Macaca mulatta: one gene and its partners. The main gene of each other region encodes a partner of the protein of the gene in region 4 in a complex. Links are inferred from orthologs where the notes say so. Each region holds a gene or a part of one and is shown on either strand. Other genes may lie near its edges. The genes, in order: CFTR, ITGB2, ITGA2B, FLNA and ITGB3.

What was found.
Region 1: the proteins of FLNA (region 4) and CFTR are in contact, whole or in part, in a crystal structure (PDB 3ISW), measured with the Homo sapiens proteins. The link is inferred for Macaca mulatta from reciprocal best matches to the Homo sapiens genes FLNA and CFTR. Residues at the interface, in NP_001104026.1 of Homo sapiens: Thr2263, Gly2267, Ala2268, Gly2269, Gly2270, Leu2271, Ala2272, Ile2273, Ala2274, Val2275, Glu2276, Gly2277, Pro2278, Ser2279, Lys2280, Ala2281, Ile2283, Ser2284, Phe2285, Asp2287, Phe2311; in NP_000483.3 of Homo sapiens: Ser10, Val11, Val12, Ser13, Lys14, Leu15, Phe16, Phe17, Ser18, Trp19, Thr20.
Region 2: the proteins of FLNA (region 4) and ITGB2 are in contact, whole or in part, in a crystal structure (PDB 2JF1), measured with the Homo sapiens proteins. The link is inferred for Macaca mulatta from reciprocal best matches to the Homo sapiens genes FLNA and ITGB2. Residues at the interface, in NP_001104026.1 of Homo sapiens: Val2241, Thr2263, Ala2266, Gly2267, Ala2268, Gly2269, Gly2270, Leu2271, Ala2272, Ile2273, Ala2274, Val2275, Glu2276, Gly2277, Pro2278, Ser2279, Lys2280, Ala2281, Ile2283, Phe2285, Phe2311; in NP_000202.3 of Homo sapiens: Leu753, Phe754, Lys755, Ser756, Ala757, Thr758, Thr759, Thr760, Val761, Met762, Asn763.
Region 3: the proteins of FLNA (region 4) and ITGA2B are in contact, whole or in part, in an NMR structure (PDB 7SFT), measured with the Homo sapiens proteins. The link is inferred for Macaca mulatta from reciprocal best matches to the Homo sapiens genes FLNA and ITGA2B. Residues at the interface, in NP_001104026.1 of Homo sapiens: Thr2263, Gly2267, Ala2268, Gly2269, Gly2270, Leu2271, Ile2273, Ala2274, Val2275, Glu2276, Gly2277, Ser2279, Ile2283, Phe2285, Asp2287, Arg2288, Lys2289, Gly2291, Cys2293, Val2295; in NP_000410.2 of Homo sapiens: Trp1019, Lys1020, Val1021, Gly1022, Phe1023, Phe1024, Lys1025, Arg1026, Asn1027, Arg1028, Pro1029, Pro1030.
Region 5: the proteins of FLNA (region 4) and ITGB3 are in contact, whole or in part, in an NMR structure (PDB 2MTP), measured with the Homo sapiens proteins. The link is inferred for Macaca mulatta from reciprocal best matches to the Homo sapiens genes FLNA and ITGB3. Residues at the interface, in NP_001104026.1 of Homo sapiens: Gly2236, Arg2264, Ala2268, Gly2269, Gly2270, Leu2271, Ala2272, Ile2273, Ala2274, Val2275, Glu2276, Gly2277, Pro2278, Ser2279, Lys2280, Ala2281, Ile2283, Phe2285, Asp2287, Gly2291; in NP_000203.2 of Homo sapiens: Lys742, Ile745, Thr746, Pro771, Leu772, Tyr773, Lys774, Glu775, Ala776, Thr777, Ser778, Thr779, Ile783, Tyr785, Arg786, Gly787, Thr788.

What each region holds. Positions count from the first base shown.
Region 1 is NC_133408.1:157,022,843-157,026,962, forward strand, and holds the start of CFTR (cystic fibrosis transmembrane conductance regulator), read left to right. Parts: upstream 1-1,314; 5' UTR 1,315-2,329; intron 2,330-2,581; exon of another isoform or gene 2,582-2,681; 5' UTR 2,682-2,730; coding exon 2,731-2,783; intron 2,784-4,120. UniProt on the Homo sapiens protein: Epithelial ion channel that plays an important role in the regulation of epithelial ion and water transport and fluid homeostasis. Mediates the transport of chloride ions across the cell membrane.
Region 2 is NC_133408.1:2,622,497-2,626,005, reverse strand, and holds part of ITGB2 (integrin beta-2), read right to left. Parts: coding exon 3,474-3,509; intron 2,334-3,473; coding exon 2,238-2,333; exon of another isoform or gene 1,307-2,237; coding exon of another isoform or gene 645-1,306; coding exon 555-644; intron 1-554.
Region 3 is NC_133421.1:68,750,835-68,754,343, reverse strand, and holds part of ITGA2B (integrin alpha-IIb), read left to right. Parts: intron 1-343; coding exon 344-424; intron 425-546; coding exon 547-646; intron 647-745; coding exon 746-898; intron 899-1,014; coding exon 1,015-1,140; intron 1,141-1,613; coding exon 1,614-1,727; intron 1,728-1,920; coding exon of another isoform or gene 1,921-1,963; coding exon 1,964-2,065; intron 2,066-2,642; coding exon 2,643-2,853; intron 2,854-3,509. UniProt on the Homo sapiens protein: Integrin alpha-IIb/beta-3 is a receptor for fibronectin, fibrinogen, plasminogen, prothrombin, thrombospondin and vitronectin. It recognizes the sequence R-G-D in a wide array of ligands.
Region 4 is NC_133426.1:160,547,884-160,551,392, forward strand, and holds part of FLNA (filamin-A), read left to right. Parts: intron 1-103; coding exon 104-352; intron 353-455; coding exon 456-553; intron 554-649; coding exon 650-797; intron 798-1,391; coding exon 1,392-1,510; intron 1,511-1,602; coding exon 1,603-1,680; intron 1,681-1,770; coding exon 1,771-1,933; intron 1,934-2,016; coding exon 2,017-2,217; intron 2,218-2,780; coding exon 2,781-2,918; intron 2,919-3,007; coding exon 3,008-3,131; intron 3,132-3,303; coding exon 3,304-3,440; intron 3,441-3,509. UniProt on the Homo sapiens protein: Promotes orthogonal branching of actin filaments and links actin filaments to membrane glycoproteins. Anchors various transmembrane proteins to the actin cytoskeleton and serves as a scaffold for a wide range of cytoplasmic signaling proteins.
Region 5 is NC_133421.1:71,534,284-71,538,590, forward strand, and holds the start of ITGB3 (integrin beta-3), read left to right. Parts: upstream 1-1,502; 5' UTR 1,503-1,658; coding exon 1,659-1,737; intron 1,738-2,001; exon of another isoform or gene 2,002-2,009; coding exon of another isoform or gene 2,010-2,561; exon of another isoform or gene 2,562-2,655; intron 2,656-4,307. Other genes in the region: uncharacterized protein LOC114673163, read right to left, coding at 2,010-2,561. UniProt on the Homo sapiens protein: Integrin alpha-V/beta-3 (ITGAV:ITGB3) is a receptor for cytotactin, fibronectin, laminin, matrix metalloproteinase-2, osteopontin, osteomodulin, prothrombin, thrombospondin, vitronectin and von Willebrand factor.

The DNA of each region.
Region 1 (4,120 bases), on a different chromosome or scaffold from region 4:
TTTCAAAGATACGTTTAGGATTTCAGTCATGACCTTAAGTCACATTTGAACAGTTTTCTGGTCGATAAGTCCTTATTCCCACATTATGTATGTATCTTGATGCAAATTCTGAATATCATGTTGCAATTAGTGCATTTGGACATGCTTGCTAACTGTGTTAAAGCTCTGAATAATGGTAAAGTTTTATTTCTACCAAAACAAATTTGGACCATAATGTTTTATGATAAAAATCTATGGTCTTCCTATGTACATGTGTGTGTACATGCTTAAAATGGAATGTTATAGTTAAATGTAATTCTTTAAAAGTATATAACTCCAGTGGCTACTTGGTTTGGCTACTTGGTTTGTAGATATTTGCTTTCCTGTTTCATTGTTAAACAGGCCTAGAAGTTATTATTTCATGAAACTAATGTGAGGAAAGAGACTAGGTTGATGTATAAGTGACATTATAAAAATACATGAGGGATGATTTGATTAGAAGCAGTATTACACAGTGATAGGAGTAATGGTTTAGAACTAGACCCAGGTTTGAATCTTAGCTCTATCATTATAGGCATTTACTTAACTTTTCTTGTTTGCTTACTCAACTGAAAACTGAAGATAATAACACCTGTTTACATGGTTGTTGTAAGGGTTATATGAATAATGTCTGGCAAATAGTAAGAACTCAAGTAACTGTTTCATTCTTTCCAGAAGGAGATTGACTGAAAAATATTTGGAGTCTCCTGCAGCCATATTCCTTGGTCAGCTTCTATGATTCTCTTTGGAGCTTAATTCTTAATCCCTTTATTTTCACTTGCTTGTTGATAACAAAGAATAATTTATTTCAAAATAATTTATTTCAAAAATAATTTTTTGAAATAATTTATTTCAAACGCATGTATTATATTTGATGGGCCACACTAATAGTTATAAACCAAACAACAGATTGGGGATGGGGAAGTGGATGGAGTGAGTTCAGTCACATGTCTGGGAAAAGTCAATAGTGAAGACAGTCTCAATTTTTGTCATACTGGAGAGTGAAAACACAGGTAGAGGATTTCAAACAACAGGGTGGATGGTGAGTTAAAAGTGCTGAAGTTCTTTCCTGGTGTCTAACTTAATGCAATGTGGTTTATCTCTTTGCCCTTTTCTCTACTATTCAAATTTAGGATAATAAAGATTAAATGTTTCTAAATCTTACTTTACAATATTCAAGAAAAAAGGTATGCTTTTGTCCACTGAAGTGCAAAGCAGAGCTATGAAAACCTGCTGAACACATTCTTTATTTTCAACACATGTTCTTGTCTTTCCATCATGAAATGCATGTTTTATTTGTACTGTAGCTGGGTGACCACAAGTTAACAATAAGATCATTCACAAGACCCTTGCCTTAGATGTGTTGACAATGAAGTAATCAGGCCAAAATTTTTACTTTCCTTTGAATTTTTCAATTCAAACACAACGTGTGCTTGCTTTTACACAATAGGGTTCAGGGATTAGAGGGTTGGCTCTTTAAATACCGTCAGAGACACAGGCAATCCTACACCAAGTGCTCAGAAGGAAGGCGCCTACGCCTGGGAATGTCCAGTTGCCCTTGGAGAGTTGAAGATGGCGTTTCTCTGAGTCAGGTCAAAGTTAACACATTACCTTCGCTTCAAAGACTGCTTGGATTCCTTTCGGTGGATTAGTCAAGATGTTTTGCTGACTGAGACTAGGAAATCTATAGGAGGGCGGGTTAGTTTACATTGTTGCTTGTCATTGTCGCTAAAACACTCCAAAGCCTTCCTTAAAAATGCACACTGGACTAAAAACGACAGACAAGGAACAAATCCTGGGCTGGTAATTAGGCGAAGCACTATCTCCTCTTACCTCCTTGTAGATTTTTTTTCCCCCTTTAAGTACGTGTCCTCAGATTTCTTTGTCATCCTTGGAGTTCACTCACCTAAGCCTGAAACTAATAAAGCTTGGTTCTTTTCTCCAACACGCAGAGGAAGCGCTAAGGTGAATGCATCAGACCCACACTGCCGCGGAACTTTTCGGCTCTCTAAGGCTGTATTTTGATACACGAAAGGCACATTTTCCTTCCCTTTTCAAAATGCACCTTGCAAACGTAACAGGAACCCAGCTAGGATCATCGGAAAAAGGAGGAAGAGGAGGAAGGCAGGCTCGGGGGAAGCTGGTGGCAGCGAGTGCTGGGTCTGGTGGACCCTGCCGCGAAGGACGGTCCAGGAGGCTCTCCGGGGAGCCAGTTCTGCCGGTGGCTTCTTCTGTCCTCCAGCGTTGCCAACCGCACCTAAAGAGCGGCCGCGACTGTCGCCCACCTGCGGGATGGGCCTGGTGCTGGGCGGTAAGGACACGGACCTGGAAGGAGCGCGCGCGAGGGAGGGAGGCTGGGAGTCAGAATCAGAAAAGGGAGGTGCGGGGCGGCGAGGGAGCGAAGGAGGAGAGGAGGAAGGAGCGGCCGGGGTGCTGCCGGGGGTGCGTAGTGGGTGGAGAAAGCCGCTAGAGCAAATTTGGGGCCGGACCAGGCAGCACTCGGCTTTTAACCTGGGCAGTGAAGGCGGGGGAAGGAGCAAAAGGAAGGGGTGGTGTGTGGAGTAGGGGTGGGTGGGGGGAGTTGGAAGCAAATGACATCACAGCAGGTCAGAGAAAAAGGGTTGAGCGGCAGGCACCCAGAGTAATAGGTCCTTTGGCATTAGGAGCTTGAGCCCAGTCGGCCCTAGCGGGGACCCCAGCGCCCGAGAGACCATGCAGAGGTCGCCTCTGGAAAAGGCCAGCGTTGTCTCCAAACTTTTTTTCAGGTGAGAGGGTGGCCAACCGAGCTTTGGAAAGACACGTGCCCACGAAAGATTAGGGCGTGTGTATGGGCTGGATTTGGGGAAAAGAAATAAGCAGTTTTTAAAAAGATGCGCTATCATTCATTGTTTTGAAAGAAAATGTGGGTATTGTGGAATAAAACAGAAAGCGTTAAGAAGAGATTGAAGAATGAATTGAAGCTGATTGAATAGACAGCCACATCTACTTGCAACTGAAAAGTTAGAATCTCAAGACCCAAGTATGCTACTATGCAGTTATTTTATTTGATTTTTCTAAGAAACTAAAAAAACTTGTTAATAATAAATACTTAAGTGTGGTTTATTGGTTTTCCCCCTTCATGCCTTGGACACTTGATTATCTTCTTGGCACATACAGGTGCCATGCCTGCATATAGTAGGTGCTCAGAAAACATTTCTTGACTGAATTCTGCCAAAAAAATTTTTGGGGTAGGTAGAAAATATGTGCTTAAAATATTTATTGTTATGAGACTGGATAAATCTAGTATTTGTCACAAGTACATTGTTCTTTAAAAATTGAAGGCAAATTTGTTGAAATATTTATTTAGAAAAAAGTTAACTTTACAAGCTATAAATTTTAAAAGCCATAGGAATAGATACTGAAGTTATATCCAACTGACATTTAATAAATTGTATTCCTAGCCTAATGTGATGAGCCATAGAAGCTTGCAAACTTTGAGCCATAGAAGCTTGCAAACTTTATCTAATGAGATTTTGAAAAACAGCGTCTAAGTTCGGAATCTTAGGCAAAGTGTTATTAGATGTAGCACTTCATATTTGAAGTGTTCTTTGGATATTGCATCTACTTTGTTCCTGTTATACCTGTGTGAATGAATGAGTAGGTACTTCTCTCTCGTGGGACATTACTTGACTCATAATTACCCAATGAATAAGCATACTGAGGTATCAAAAAAGTGAAATATGTTATAAATAGCTCATATAAGTGTGTAGGGGGGAAGAGATTTAGCTTTCACATTTCTGTTATGTTTAGTTCTCTGCATGTGCAGCTAATCCTGGAACTCCGGTGCTAAGGAGAGACTGTGGCCCTTGAAGGAGAGCTCCTCCCGGTGGATGAGAGAGAAGGACTTTACTCTTTGGAATTACCTTTTTGTATTGATGTTATAGCACCTTTTGTTACTTCTTCTATAAAATCGGCTTATCTATTGATCTGTTTTCCTACTTCTTATAAAATCAGAATGTTAATTGGCATAAATTATAGACCTTTTTAGCAGAGAACTTTGAGGAAGCTAAATGCCAATCAGTCTAAAAATGCAGTTTTCAGAAGAATTAATATTCCATGGATA
Region 2 (3,509 bases), on a different chromosome or scaffold from region 4:
AGAGCAGTCTGGGACCTCTGGTGCCTGGGGCCCTGAGCGGTGCCTAGTGTGCACTTGTGCCTACCTATGCCCACCAGGGCCCCGGGCTTCCCCGGGGAGCAGCCCAGGGTGCAGCTGGGCCATGCACCAGGAAGAAATTCAGTGGGTGAGGGCTTCTCTGGGGCTTGCCCAGGACAGGTGTACAGAGCAAGAGGAATTCCACCCCCCAGGGTGTCTTCCCAGGGCCCAAGTCCACCGTGGGGGTTTCCTGTGGCCTCCTCCAGCCCCAGGTGCCCTGTCTACCACCAGAGTGTCCACCCCCCTTCCCCATAGAGACCCACAGAGAAGAGTCCTGCATGAAGAGGGCCTGAGCTTGGGTTTCAAGGAGCATCGCCCACACCATCAATGAGAGAGGACATGGAGCTCCCCGTGGAACTGCCAGGCCAGGGTGTCCTGGAGGCTGCAACCAGCCCACAGGGCAGTGGCTCTCCTCCCAGATCACCCTCCTGCTGACCTGCAGTGGGGAGGTTGCTGGCCACCCCATGGGTCCCGGCTGAGCGGTGTGGGAGACTCACATTGTAAGCGTTCTTAATGAGCTGGACCACATTGCTGGAGTCGTCAGACAGCTCCCCCACCGCTGACTTCGGGATGATCTCAGTGAGTTTCTGTTGGGCAAGAAGACCAGACACGGCATGGCTAGGACCTGTGCCATGGCATCTCCATGCACCGGGCTCACCCTGAAGACCTGTGCCATGGCATCTCCACGCACCGGGCTCACCCTGAGGACCTGTGCCATGGCGTCTCCACGCACCGGGCTCACCCTGAGGACCTGTGCCATGGCGTCTCCACGCACCGGGCTCACCCTGAGGACCTGTGCCATGGCGTCTCCACGCACCGGGCTCACCCTGAGGACCTGTGCCATGGCGTCTCCACGCACCGGGCTCACCCTGAGGACCTGTGCCATGGCGTCTCCACGCACCGGGCTCACCCTGAGGACCTGTGCCATGGCGTCTCCACGCACCGGGCTCACCCTGAGGACCTGTGCCATGGCGTCTCCACGCACCGGGCTCACCCTGAGGACCTGTGCCATGGCGTCTCCACGCACCGGGCTCACCCTGAGGACCTGTGCCATGGCGTCTCCACGCACCGGGCTCACCCTGAGGACCTGTGCCATGGCGTCTCCACGCACCGGGCTCACCCCAGGGGCTTCTGCACCTGCAAAATGGCTGGGACGGTCCTCAATGCAGTTTCTCGCTTGGTCCCCAGAGTGTGTGGTCAGCGATATGTGGTAAGGGGGGGTAAAAAGCCCTGAGCTGCCCGGGGCCATGCCTGGAATCCCAGCACTCAGGAGGCCTATGTGGGAAGATCCAAAGCCAGTGCTGAATCCCAGGGCTCCATTTGTTTGGTTTGGCTCCTCCCATTTGAGGCATTTATGGAAGGCTTGTCTCCATCAACATATGGCAGAAGGGTGTGTTCTCTGTGTGCACAAGCGGTGGTTTCCCTCAGGAGGTGGCCTGGTTTCTCTCCTGTGCACCTTTGACCTTTAGTGACTTTTGTCTGTATCCTCCCACCTCGGGCAGCGGCTGGCACCCAGGAGGGTTTGCTTCGCAATAAACCGTAACTGTGAGTTTACTAGTTCCTGAGCTCTGCAAGTCCTTCCAGCAAATCACTGACCCTGAGAGTGGTCTTGGGAACCCCGACAGCACCTGAGCGACTTGAACGCACGAACCTGCTCAGGCCAGGCTGAACACATGGCACGGGCGGTGGAAATTCGGGATGAACGTATTTCATTGGGGGCTTCTGCTTCTAGGAGCAGAGCTGGTTATCGGCTGTGCTTCCTTTGTAAAACTCATCCCACCCCACGCTCCAAGCTTGTGAACGTTTTTGTGTAATTTTATCTTCGTGGAGAGTGTTGATATTCAAATGTATGTGAGCATAAAATAAGCATGTTTCCATAAAATAAAGAATTGTGCTATATTCCAGAAAAGAACAGAAAATATCACCAATGCCAAGACACGCTGTTAACACAGCTGAGTTTCAGGGATAGGGAGGAATTCCTCCTTCTATCGACACGCAGGTGTCCTGTCCTGGACGGGAAGCCTCAGGCTCCTCACCCACAGGCATCTGTGACCCGGGCCGGCTGGCCCTCACGTGCCCAGCATGTGGAGGTGGCACTCAGACCTGCAGTGGCGCTGGGTGTGGCCTGCGGCTGAAACGTGCCCCTGCCCAACAGATGCTCAGGACCCAACAGCACTCACCTCATACGTCTTCACCATCTTCCTGGTCACCGCGAAGATGGGCTGGATGTTGTTTTCGGCCAGCTTGTGCGCCAGCTGGCCCACCGATGGGTAGTCCTGGAGAAAGGAGGTCCTGCTCAGCTGGCCCCGAGTCTGAGACAAGCCTTCCAGGTGCCCGCCCCTGTCTGCCCCACTCAGCCTTAGCCCTGCCTGTGCTTCGGACCCTCTCGGGGGAAGGCTGGAGAGGCAGAGGCTGCCGCGCAGGAGTGCAGTGCAGAGAGCCGCCATGGCCTCTGGGCAACGTGTGCATAGACTTGGGCTTTCAGAGTCCAGCCAAGAGCAGCATTTGAGGCGTCTCACCGTGGGACTGGGGATGTCCACGGGGCAGAATCCCAGCCTGCCCCACACGGTGGACCTGCTTTCGCACTGAGAGGCGCTCAGTTTCAGCAGAGGCCATGAGGGTCAGGTGCGGCTCTCGCTACCCAAGTTCCAGGACCCGACGGCCGTCCCTCCCGTCTGTGGCTTCGGCAGAGGACCTGAGTTTTGCATCTCTAAAGTCCTTTGCCGCCCCCAGAGCCTATGATGTCAGGCCGCAAGAGCATTGCACCATGGCCAGCGAGGACAAGCCCCTGTGACCGGTGGTGGCCTCTGGGCCCACGGCTGATCCCAGCCAGAGGTCGTGGCCCCTCTGAGCCATTGAAATGCCTCTGCAGAGACAGGCTCGTCCTAACCCTGTGCATCCTGGGTCCCTCCCCGCATTTTCCTCATGGTCCCCGCAGTCCCTCACCCAGCTCAGGCGCTGGGGACAGGGAGGGGCCGCACTGGAGGAGGCGGACTCAGGGGCAGCAGGGAAACCACAGAGGAGGCCAGGAGGAGGAGGAGGCGGATGCTCCAGGATGGGACTCTGGCCAGCGGCGGGGACAACAGGGCGCGGCTGTAGCCTGGGGGCGGTTACTGTACCTCCACAGCCGCTGACAGCCCAGGTGCGGGGGCAGTGGGGCTGGAGACCAACAGGGCCTGGGAGTGCCACAAGGGCGAGGCCGGGGCTCAGCCTGGCTGCCCCCACCAACCCCACCCTCCCCTGGCCTGAGGCCAGTCCTGGGAGACCCCACACTGCCACTTGGGGCTTCCAGAAGTTTCCTCGGGAATCTGCTCCTTGGGTTGGAAGGAGGCTCTGTAAGGTGGAGACCCCGCCTTGTTCCCTCCGTCAATGGTGTCCTGCCAGGCGGTGCCTGGGTGCCTGGGGTGGGGACTTACGAACTCGTTGCTCCTCTTGTACATGTTGTCCTCCAG
Region 3 (3,509 bases), on a different chromosome or scaffold from region 4:
GAATAGCTTGAACTGAACCTGGGAGGAGGAGGTTGCAGTGAGCTGAGATTGGGCCCCTGCACTCCAGCCTTCCAGCCTGGGTGACAAAGCGAGACTCCGTCTCAAAAAAAAAAAAAAAAAAAAAAAAAAGGTCTTTGAAGAAGCCTAGTTCCGTTTCTTCCTCAGAGACTTACATCTGAGTCTTGGAGCCGTAGAGGACGTTCTTTCCCAAGGCCTAACTTCAGTGTGGCATGCTGTTTGTATAATTAGCTTTCTCTGAACTCTCTAAAATTCTGGCCTCACCCTCAGAGAGTCACTGGGCTGGTGTCCCTGGCCCTGTTTCTCCTCATCCCCTCCCCTCTAGCAAGAACAGCCAGAATCCAAACAGCAAGATTGTGCTGCTGGATGTGCCAGTCCGGGCAGAGGCCCAAGTGGAGCTGCGAGGGTGAGAGGCCAGGGGTGGAGAATGGAGGTGGTATTCAGGGCTCTCAACTCCAGGGGGCGCTGGGGAACCCCACAGGCCAGTCAGGGCATCACACTCTCTCTGGGGGTCTTGGGCACCTGCAGGAACTCCTTTCCAGCCTCCCTGGTGGTGGCTGCAGAAGAAGGTGACAGGGAGCAGAACAGCTTGGACAGCCGGGGACCCAAAGTGGAGCACACCTATGAGGTAGGGAGGAGCCTCACGTCCCGGGCTGGGGTGAGCGAGTCCTTAGAACTCCGGTTGAGGGGCTGAGCTCCCCGCACCCTGCCACCACCACCCCTCCAGCTCCACAACAATGGCCCTGGGACTGTGAATGGCCTTCACCTCAGCATCCACCTCCCGGGGCAGTCCCAGCACTCTGACCTGCTCTACATCCTGGATATACAGCCCCAGGGGGGCCTTCAGTGCTTCCCACAGCCTCCTGTCAACCCCCTCAAGGTGAGAGCTGGGTGGAAGAAAGAGCTGTGAAGGGGGCCCCAGACCAACCACCGGGGCACCTCTGTGGGCTGGGGTTCGGCAGAGACCTGGGCCTGACCACTCCTTCGCCCTACCAGGTGGACTGGGGGCTGCCCACCCCCAGCCCCTCCCCCGTTCACCCGGCCCACCACAAGCGGGATCGCAGACAGATCTTCCTGCCAGAGCCCGAGCAGCCCTCGAGGCTTCAGGATCCAGTTCTCGTAGTGAGCAGGCTCTCTGGTCTCCAGTGGGGCCTCCCCGGGGCCCAAGGGGCAGAGGGGATGGGAGGAGGGAGAGGGGTCCGGGTGTGCTGTGGGCCTCTGTGGGCCACGCTTGGTCCCACGGAGCACTTCAACATGGAGGAGCACACTGGCTTGTGTCTGGGGTGAGCTGAAAGACACCTGCACTTTTTTAAAGCTTCCCAGTACGTTAAGGAACATAAAATAACGCCAAAGCAAGGTTATCATAGCTCTGGGCATTGCGTGCTGGGGTATGACCCTCCCTGCATCTCTGGGACTATGTGAGCAAGCCCGTGGAGAGCCAGCATCCGAAGCTTGGATCCAAGGCCCTTCCTGATGGGGAGGCCATCGCTCCCTGAACGCCCGGCCCCCTCTGCGTTGGGTCCTGGGGGTAAGGGCGGGGGGGTGATGGGGCGATGGGCCAGGATGGGCTGGGAACTGACGACGCCTCCCCTCAGAGCTGCGACTCGGCGCCCTGTACTGTGGTGCAGTGTGACCTGCAGGAGATGGCGCGCGGGCAGCGGGCCATGGTCACGGTGCTGGCTTTCCTGTGGCTGCCCAGCCTCCACCAGGTGGGGCGGGCCGTAGGGTGGCAGGGCCGGGCATTCTAGGCAGGGACCACTTTGCTCTGGGAGGGGCAGGGTTTGGTGTGGGAAGGCAGGAAGAGAGGGAAGGCAAGGTTTACTTTGGGGGATTGCAGGGGATTAGGCCAGAGGCAGGGCTTCCCCGCCGGGAGTGTGGGACCCGGACTCCTGCAACCAATAGGCCTCGTGTGGGTGTTTATGGCTTTCAACCCCAACCTGTCCAGAGGCCACTGGATCAGTTTGTGCTGCAGTCACAGGCATGGTTCAACGTGTCCTCCCTCCCCTATGCCGTGCCCCCGCTCAGCCTGCCACGAGGGGAAGCTCAGGTGAGTGTGGGGGGCTGGAGCAGAGACCAGTCCTGCAGGACCCATTGTCCCCAGTCAGTGACCAGTCAGGAAGGTCTGAGGGGTGGTATGGGTGGGTGGCATGGCTGGAGGTCACCAGCCTGAGGTTTGAGTCTTTATGAAAGGCAGGTGTCTGCCGGGTGTGGTGGCTTATGCCTGTAATCCCAGCACTTTGGGAAGCTGAGGCAGGTGGATCATGAAGTCAAGAGATTGAGACCATCCTGGCCAACATGGTGAAACCCTGTCTCTACTAAAAATACAAAAATTAGCTGGGCGTGGTGGCACGCACCTGTAGTCCCAGCTACTCGAGAAGCTGAGGCAGGAGAATCTCTTGAACCCAGGAGGTGGAGGTTGCAGTGAGTGGAGATCACGCCACTGCACTCTAGCCTGGTGACAGAGTGAGACTCCATCTAAGAAAGAAAGAAAGAAGGAAAGAAAGAAGGAAGGAAGGAAGGAAGGAAGGAAGGAAGGAAGGAAGGAAGGAAGGAAGGAAGGAAGGAAGGAAAGAAGGAAAGGCAGGTGTCAAGGTGACTGAGAAGACACGTGGGTTTGCCCCCAGGTGCGGACACAGCTGCTTCGGGCCTTGGAGGAGAGGGCCATTCCAATCTGGTGGGTGCTGGTGGGTGTGCTGGGCGGCCTGCTGCTGCTCACCATCCTGGTCCTGGCCATGTGGAAGGTGAGGTGTGAAGGACAGTGGAATCTCCAGTGGGGCACAGGCTTGGCCCCGCCTTGCCTCACAGGGAGTCAAGGAGAGATGGTGGCCCACCCAAGTGGGTAATCCAGGGACCAGGGATCTATGTCTCCATTATTAGAATGTCATTCTCGGCCCAGTGGGGTGGCTCACACCTGTAATCCCAGCACTTTGGGAGGCCAAGGCAGGTAGATCACCTGAGGTCAAGAGTTCGAGACCAGCCTGGCCAAAATGGTGAAACCCCGTTTCTACTAAAAATACCAAAATTAGCCAGGCGTGGTGACACATGCCTGTAATCTCAGCTACTTGGGAGGCTGAGGCAGTAGAGGCGGAGGTTGCGGTGAGCCAAGATCACGCCACTGCACTCCAGCTTGGGCAACAGAGCGAGCCTCCATCTCCAAAAAAGAAGGAAAGAAAGAAAGAAAAGAAAGAAAGAAAGAAATAGAATGTATTTCTCTAGTAGAGCAAAAAAGGTAAAACAAACACACAAACCCAAAAAATGTCATTCTCCTGGGAACACTTCCAGGTACATACTACTAGAAAGGACAGCACCTGAAATTCTGGGGCCTTTAGACACCCCTGCCACCAGAAAGAATCAGAGGATATAGAGGGTATATAGGGTGTAAGTTCTGCCTTCAGGAATTCCTGGCTGGTCTTGAGGACAAGACGCACTTCCTCCTAGCTCTGCCCTTCCCCTTGAGTGAGGCAAGAGGTCCAAGGACTGGTTTAGACCCT
Region 4 (3,509 bases):
CCTTGGCCCCCCCATCCCGTGCTACCAGACCATGACCCCAAAGCCTGGGAGCGGCCCCTCCCGCACAGCTGTGTGCCCAGTGTAGCCACTCTTGTACTCACAGACAGCAAGGCCATCGTGGACGGGAACCTGAAGCTGATCCTGGGCCTCATCTGGACCCTGATCCTGCACTACTCCATCTCCATGCCCATGTGGGATGAGGAGGAGGATGAGGAGGCCAAGAAGCAGACCCCCAAGCAGAGGCTCCTGGGCTGGATCCAGAACAAGCTGCCACAGCTGCCCATCACCAACTTCAGCCGAGACTGGCAGAGCGGCCGGGCCCTGGGTGCCCTGGTCGACAGCTGTGCCCCGGGTGAGGGGGCACAGAGGCAGGAGAGACTGGGCTGGGGTCGCCCATGGGTGGCCCTTGAGGGGCTTCTGTAGCCCCCGGATTCACAGCCTTCCTTGTGCCATAGGCCTGTGTCCTGACTGGGACTCTTGGGATGCCAGCAAGCCTGTGAATAATGCACGAGAGGCCATGCAGCAGGCGGATGACTGGCTGGGCATCCCCCAGGTACACCTGCCCGGCCTGTCTGCGGCTGTAGGGGACCGGATCGGCAGTTGGGAGAGACTCGGAGGCCCGATGGCTCCTGTTTTCTGCCCGTGACAGGTGATCACCCCCGAGGAGATTGTGGACCCCAACGTGGATGAGCATTCTGTCATGACCTACCTGTCCCAGTTCCCCAAGGCCAAGCTGAAGCCAGGGGCACCCTTGCGGCCCAAACTGAACCCGAAGAAAGCCCGTGCCTACGGGCCAGGTGAGGGAGCCCAGCCAGGGGTGCACCCATGTGCCAATGTCTTACCCGTAAGACAGTGTCCCATCCAAACGTGGAGGTCCCGAGGGGTCTTGGGTTACATGGTGGCTAGGTGATCGGGCCACCCAAAAGTCAGACAGGAGTGGGTCGGGACTAGCGGCAACACTCCACTGAGTAGGCAAGAGAATGCCAAAACGTTCCTCCAGTCACAGAAACCTGCAGCGTGAGGTCCTCGGGGAGGTAGCACCCAGGGGTCTCTGTTATACATGGAGATGAACCAGAACTCAGTAACAGGGACCTAAAACCCAGTCACAGCTCACACAGGAATAAGGGCCCAGTGCGGTGAGAATGAATGTTCCAGAAAACAGGCACAGGCCTGTCCCAGCGGCAAGAGCTCACACTGAATGAACTTGCCCAGTTTGGAATGTACCTGACTTAGGGGCCAGCAGGGAGGGGCGTTGAGCCTGCAGAGGCCTGGGGGCTGGCATTGCCACCGGTGCTCTTGCCCGCCTCCCTTAGCATCCAGGACTGAGGGGTGGAGGGGTGAGGCTGTGGCCCTAACAACTGGCCTGTGGTTGGCTCACCCTCCCCTGCCAGGCATTGAGCCCACAGGCAACATGGTGAAGAAGCGGGCGGAGTTCACTGTGGAGACCAGAAGTGCCGGCCAGGGAGAGGTGCTGGTGTACGTGGAGGACCCGGCCGGACACCAGGAGGAGGTAGGGCTAGCTGCTGGCAGCGGAGACCCCGCGGCACTCCCTTTCAGTGGGGCTGCTCTTAGCGAAGGCTCACAGGCTCCTTCCCACTGCAGGCAAAAGTGACTGCCAATAATGACAAGAACCGCACCTTTTCTGTCTGGTACGTCCCCGAGGTGACGGGGACTCATAAGGTGAGCCCTTGGCCAGTGGGGAGGCTTGTGACCTCAGGCGGTGGCTGGAGGTCCCTAGCCTACCCTCACGGCCCACCCTTCTGGGGACAGGTCACTGTGCTATTTGCTGGCCAGCACATCGCCAAGAGCCCCTTCGAGGTGTATGTGGATAAGTCACAGGGTGACGCCAGCAAAGTGACAGCCCAAGGCCCCGGCCTGGAGCCCAGTGGCAACATCGCCAACAAGACCACCTACTTTGAGATCTTTACAGCAGGTAAGGGGAGGCTGCCGAGGCCCGGCTGGTCTGTGGGGAGAGCCACACTGGGGCCGGGGAGCTAAGCAGGTGCCTTGTGGCAGGAGCTGGCACGGGCGAGGTTGAGGTTGTGATCCAGGACCCCGCGGGACAGAAGGGCACGGTAGAGCCTCAGCTGGAGGCCCGGGGCGACAGCACATACCGCTGCACCTACCAGCCCACCATGGAGGGTGTCCACACCGTGCACGTCACGTTTGCCGGCGTGCCCATCCCTCGCAGCCCCTACACTGTCACTGTTGGCCAAGGTAGGCCCGGCCCTGACCGCCCTCTGCTGTGGCACTGCAGTCTGGGCCTCCCACAGGAGGGGGAGCCCCCTGGTCCAGTCCCGCTGCAGCCCACCCCAGGGCGCCTACTCTTTGAGCTTCCACTGTCTGGGCACCTGCTGTCTTTCCTCCCCTGCTGGGGTCCTTCCTCCTCTCCTCTCCTCGCCCCTCTCCATCTCTCTCCTCTCCTCGCCCCTCTCCATCTCTCTCCTCACGCTTTCACCTTTGGAAGAGCTCGCTCCAGCTGTCTAGAAACCTGCTGCTCTCCGCTCTGCCCATGGGGTCAACGGTACTTGGATCTGTCTTCTTCTTGGAAGGGAGGGCGGGGGGCTCTGGGCTGGTGTGTAGCAGGTGGGAGGAGGCCTGCCATGTCCTGGCCCAGGCCACAGTTACTGGGGTCACGGTTCCTTCCAGTTCTTTCTTGCATGTCCCCCTCCAACCAAACTCTGAGGGACCCTCCAGTCCTGACAGCCCCGCCCTGCAGGAGGCAAGGGAGGGGTCACCCAGCCGAGCTGCTGGTGCTCAGCTGGCCCCTCTGCCTACAGCCTGTAACCCGAGTGCCTGCCGGGCAGTCGGCCGGGGCCTCCAGCCCAAGGGTGTGCGGGTGAAGGAGACAGCCGACTTCAAGGTGTACACAAAGGGCGCTGGCAGTGGGGAGCTGAAGGTCACCGTGAAGGGCCCCAGTAAGTTGGCCTGGAGCCAGGCCAGGGTGGGTGGCGGCAGCCCCCAGGTTCACTGCTGGGCAGGCCTGAGGCCCTCCTTGTCTTCGCAGAGGGAGAGGAGCGCGTGAAGCAGAAGGACCTAGGGGATGGCGTGTATGGCTTCGAGTATTACCCCACGGTCCCTGGGACCTATATCGTGACCATCACATGGGGCGGTCAGAACATTGGGCGCAGGTGAGGCCCCCAGGCATCCCTCTCCCAGCTCTGCACATTCTGCCTCTTCCTCCTGCCTCCCCACCTGATGATGAGGGGCCACACGGGCTCTTCCTGCCTGGCCGCCACAGTGGGGCCCAGGCTGGCTCATGTAGTGATTCTTGGTATTCCTGTGTGGCTCTCCCATTCGCAGTCCCTTCGAGGTGAAGGTGGGCACCGAGTGTGGCAATCAGAAGGTGCGGGCATGGGGCCCTGGGCTGGAGGGCGGCGTCGTTGGCAAGTCAGCAGACTTTGTGGTGGAGGCTATTGGGGACGACGTGGGCACCCTGGGTAAGTTGGGGGCTGCACCATGGGCACCTGGGGACAGACGATGGCAAGGACAACCCACCCTGAGGCTCC
Region 5 (4,307 bases), on a different chromosome or scaffold from region 4:
GGGGCTGGGAGTGCAGAATGGACTCACTTGCACAATTGCGTCATGTTTGCTAGGGCTTGGGCTTGGGTTGTGGACTTAGCATATTTGCTGAGGTCGTTGCCCACCCCAAGTGGTTGGTGCCAGTAGGGATAGGCTGAGGAGACACCTAAGTGGCTGGAGATTGGTTTTATATATATGGGAATGGAGCAGATAAGTAAATATTTTAGGCAGAGATGTAACCAGGCCATGTGACCTGAACTTTGCTCCAGGGCCTTGAAATTGCTGTTAAAACGCTTCTGGCCTAAAGGCCCTCTGAAGCCAGGGGAGGTAGATGGAGCTTCAACCTGAAAGCCCAGGTGAGAGGGCCCAACTACCCTTTCCAGAGCTGGCTCTTCCCCTTGCAAATTGCTAGTGACGCTTCTGCTGATGTGTGTTACTGTTAAGGTGTATCCTAGTGTTTGGGAGGGTGGGGCAGGAGGTGGAGGATTGTCAGAAAAAAATTACATGGAAAAGAGGGCATCGGAGATGTTTTGAAGGATAAGTGGAATTTTCCAAGTGGAAAAAGGAAGGAAAATCAGTCAGACAGGAAGACATGGAGCATTTGGGAATGACATGTATCTTCTTGGACTTAGGGTGTGAGATGGGCTGCAGAGATGGGTCAGGGCCAGTTGTCTGGCATCTTGTGTGTCGCAGAAGAGGGTGGGGACTCTGCATAGGGAAGCCAAGGGCCACTCTGAGAGCCCTAAAAGGGAACTGATGCCTCAGGCCTTGTTTTTTTTATCACCATCAGGGCTACCCAATGAGGAGGGCTGCACTACCCCGGCTACTTCCTGGTGGCCTCTTGCTCATAGCCATAGTATTTTGCCTCTCTGAGCTTCCAGAGGTTTTAAGTCTGGGGAAGATCCAGGGACTCAAGGAAAGATTGGGGTGGGAGTTAAGGGGCCACAGTTTGGGGGAGTCAGACAGGAGGCCTTTGAGGAAAACAGATAAAGTCCCAAAGCCTGTTAGTGTGAATTTGGAGGCAATATGCTGACTGTGTTCTGAAACGTTTTCAGACACCGGCTAGGTGCAACCAAGTGTTTGTGGGGTGAGGCTCTTCATGGACTCATCACTGCTTACACAAGCTTGGGATGTGGTCTTGCCCTCAACAGGTAGGTAGTCTACCGGAAAACCAAACTAAGGCAGGAAAAAAATTAGTTAATAATAAAAGACAATCGGCTCAGAGAAGGCATTCAACAGATGTCTGTCAATCAAATTAATTAAAGTGTGAATGAATGAAACTCGAGGCAGTGGGTGAATGTGTCCCAAGAATCCAAATGAAACAAGGTATCCCGGGAGGCGGGACTGGAAGGGTCCAGAGAGGGGTCACAAGCTCCTGGCCTTTCTGAGCTTCCAAGTGCCCAGTCGCGGACCCCCGGGACCAGGATGCGCTGACAACCTGGCTGGCAGGCGGGTCCTCGTGGGCGAGGCGAGGGAGGCGGCGGGAGAGTAGCAGCAGTTTCCCACCGCTCCCTCTCAGGCACAGGGTCCAGAGAAGCCCGAAGGGAGGAAGCGCAAGTCCGTGGCCCGCCCCGTTGCGTCCCACCCACCGCGTCCCCTCCCCTCCCGCTGCGGGAAAAGCGGCCGCGGGCGGCGGCGCCCACTGTGGGGCGGGCGGAGCTCGGCGGGAGGCGGACGAGATGCGAGCGCAGCCCGGGCCCCGGCCGCTCTGGGCAACTGTGCTGGCGCTGGGGGCGCTGGCGGGCGTTGGCGTCGGAGGTGAGTGAGGCTCCGGCTTGGCAGCGACGCAGCTGCCCCAGGATCCGCGCCGCGGTCAAGTTGCGGACTTGGAGCCGGGAAAACCGGAGGGCTGGTTCAGCGCGTCTGCGCTGGGAATGCGCGGGTCCTGGCTGGGGCCGTCGGAGCCGGGAGCTGGGGACCTTCCTGGCCTGGCGGTGGCGAGGCTGAGAGGTGCCTGGTGCCTGGGGGCGGGTCCTCCGGGACGCCGAAGCCATCAGCCAGGCTGAGAGCCTTCCCGGCCGCCGCGGCGCTCACGGTGCGGTGGGCTCATCTCTGAGTCCCGCCATCAGCCCGGGCTGCGCGCGTCGTTGGTGGTCCCGGTCGGGCCAAGGACTACTGGCCCAGGAGCCAAGGCGAGGTGGGGCTTCCGGGGATTGTTCCCGGGCCTTGGCAGAGGGATGCCGCCGTAGGTTCCTGGGTGAGAGCGAGCGCGCGCGCGGGTTAGCCAGTTTCCCCACGTTTCCAATTTCTCCTGCTACGCTTTCTCCAGGAAAAGGTTTTTTCTTTTTCTTTTTCTCTTTTTTCTTTTTTCCTTCAACTTGGCTTCCTGCGGGATTGTTTTGGAGCAGGATGAGGGCTTTGCCTCCTCCAGTGTCCCCGGGTGGCAGCGGTGCCTCTACTCCCGGGGCAGACCCTGCACCCGAAAAATCTCTAGTGTATTCGGGGAGCCATGAAAAGGCTCCCTTGGGCCAGTGAGATCCTTGGCTTTGTCTCTGGCTGCTGCGCACACCGTCAGCCGTCAAGGCAATCGGCATTCGGCTTCTTTGGTGCTGGGGACACAGGTGGAGGGATGGAGCTGGCATATCCCGGGGTTGCTGACCGTGGTCCTCTCGGAGTCCTTGGAGATTTTGCCTGGGGTGGGGAGAAACCCTGGCTCCTGGTCTGCTGGGGCCGCCTCTGCCTCAGAGGATGACACAAGAGTGCATATAAGTATTTTTAATAAAAACTGTAGTACTCGTAAAACAACCTACACCCTGCAGAAGGGATTTTTTATTTTATTTTATTTTATTTTTTTGAGACGGAGTCTTGCTCTGTCACCCAGGCTGGAGTGCAGTGGCCGGATCTCTGCTCACTGCAAGAGCCGTCCCCCGGATTTATGCCATTCTCCTGCCTCAGCCTCCCGAGTAGCTGGGACTACAGGCGCCCGCCACCTCGCCTGGCTAGTTTTTTCTTTTTTGTATTTTTTAGTGTTAGCCAGGATGGTCTCGATCTCCTGACCTCGTCATCCACCCGTCTCGGCCTCCCAAAGTGCTGGGATTACAGGCTTGAGCCACCGCGCCCTATTTTGTTTTATTTATTTATTTTTTGAGACTGAGTCTCCCTCTGTTGCCCAGGCTGGAGTGCAGTGGTGGGTTCTCGGCTCACTGCAACTTCTGCCTCCTGGGTTTAAGCGATTCTCCTGACTCTGCCTCCCGAGTAGCTGGGATTACAGGCGCCTGCCACCACGCCGGGTAATTTTTGTATTTTTAGTAGAGACAGGGTTTCATCATGTTGGCCAAGCTGGTCTCGAACTCCTGGCCCCAAGTGATCCACTCACCTCGGCCTCTCAAAGTGCTAGGAATACAGGCGTGAGCCACCGCATCTGGCCAGGATTTATTTTAAAAAGGGAAGCTTTGTTGATAAGTTCACTTCAAAGATAAACTATTCGAAAATACTTTAGTGATTCCCTTCAAGACTCTTCTGTGTATGTATAGACGTGTAATTCATCCTGGACAGGGCAAGGATATTATTATTATTATTATTATTATTATTTTTTTTTGAGATGGACTCTCGCTAGAGAGACGGAGTTTCTCCATGTTGGCCAGGATGGTCTCGATTTCTTGACCTTGTGATCCACCTGCCTCGGCCTCCCAAAGTGCTGGGATTACAGGCGGGAGCCACTGCGCCTGGCCAAGGATATCTTGAAGGAGGGATTACAGTTGATGCGAGGGGAATATTGCAGTGGTTATTGCTGAATTTCCTATGTGACAGATCAGCTGATAGTGTTCGAGTGCAGTGAGCAGTCTGATGACTATGACACAGAAATAGGAATCTCCAGCATTCTGCCCTCGTACATGTGGAGCCTTGGATCAGATGCGGGGAATGGAGAAATCTACCAGGGCAACTCAGTCAAAAAAAAAAAAAAAAAAAAAAAGATATGCTTTCCCTGTCCAGGATGAGATGCTTGCCTCCATGCACTTACAACAATTTTTGCTGTCATTAAAAAATTTTCACATTCACAGTATTCCAAATTCACTTTGGAGTGTATTGGATTCCACTGCATTGACATACCTATGTTTGTGTTGAAAAATCAACTTTAAGATATCTGGTCAGGCACGGTGGCTTATGCCTGTTATCCCAGCACTTTGGGAAGTGGAGGTAGGAGGATTGCTTGAGCCCAGGAGTTCGAGACCAGCTTGGGCAACATAGTGAGACCTAATCTCTACTAAAAATTAAAAAAAAAAAATCCTTGGGCAATCTGTTCACAGATTAATCTTGTGATTGGGATGATTCAAGAAGTGGTGATGGGTTGGGCTGGGCTAGCCCCGCACTCTCTGAGAAGCAGCGTA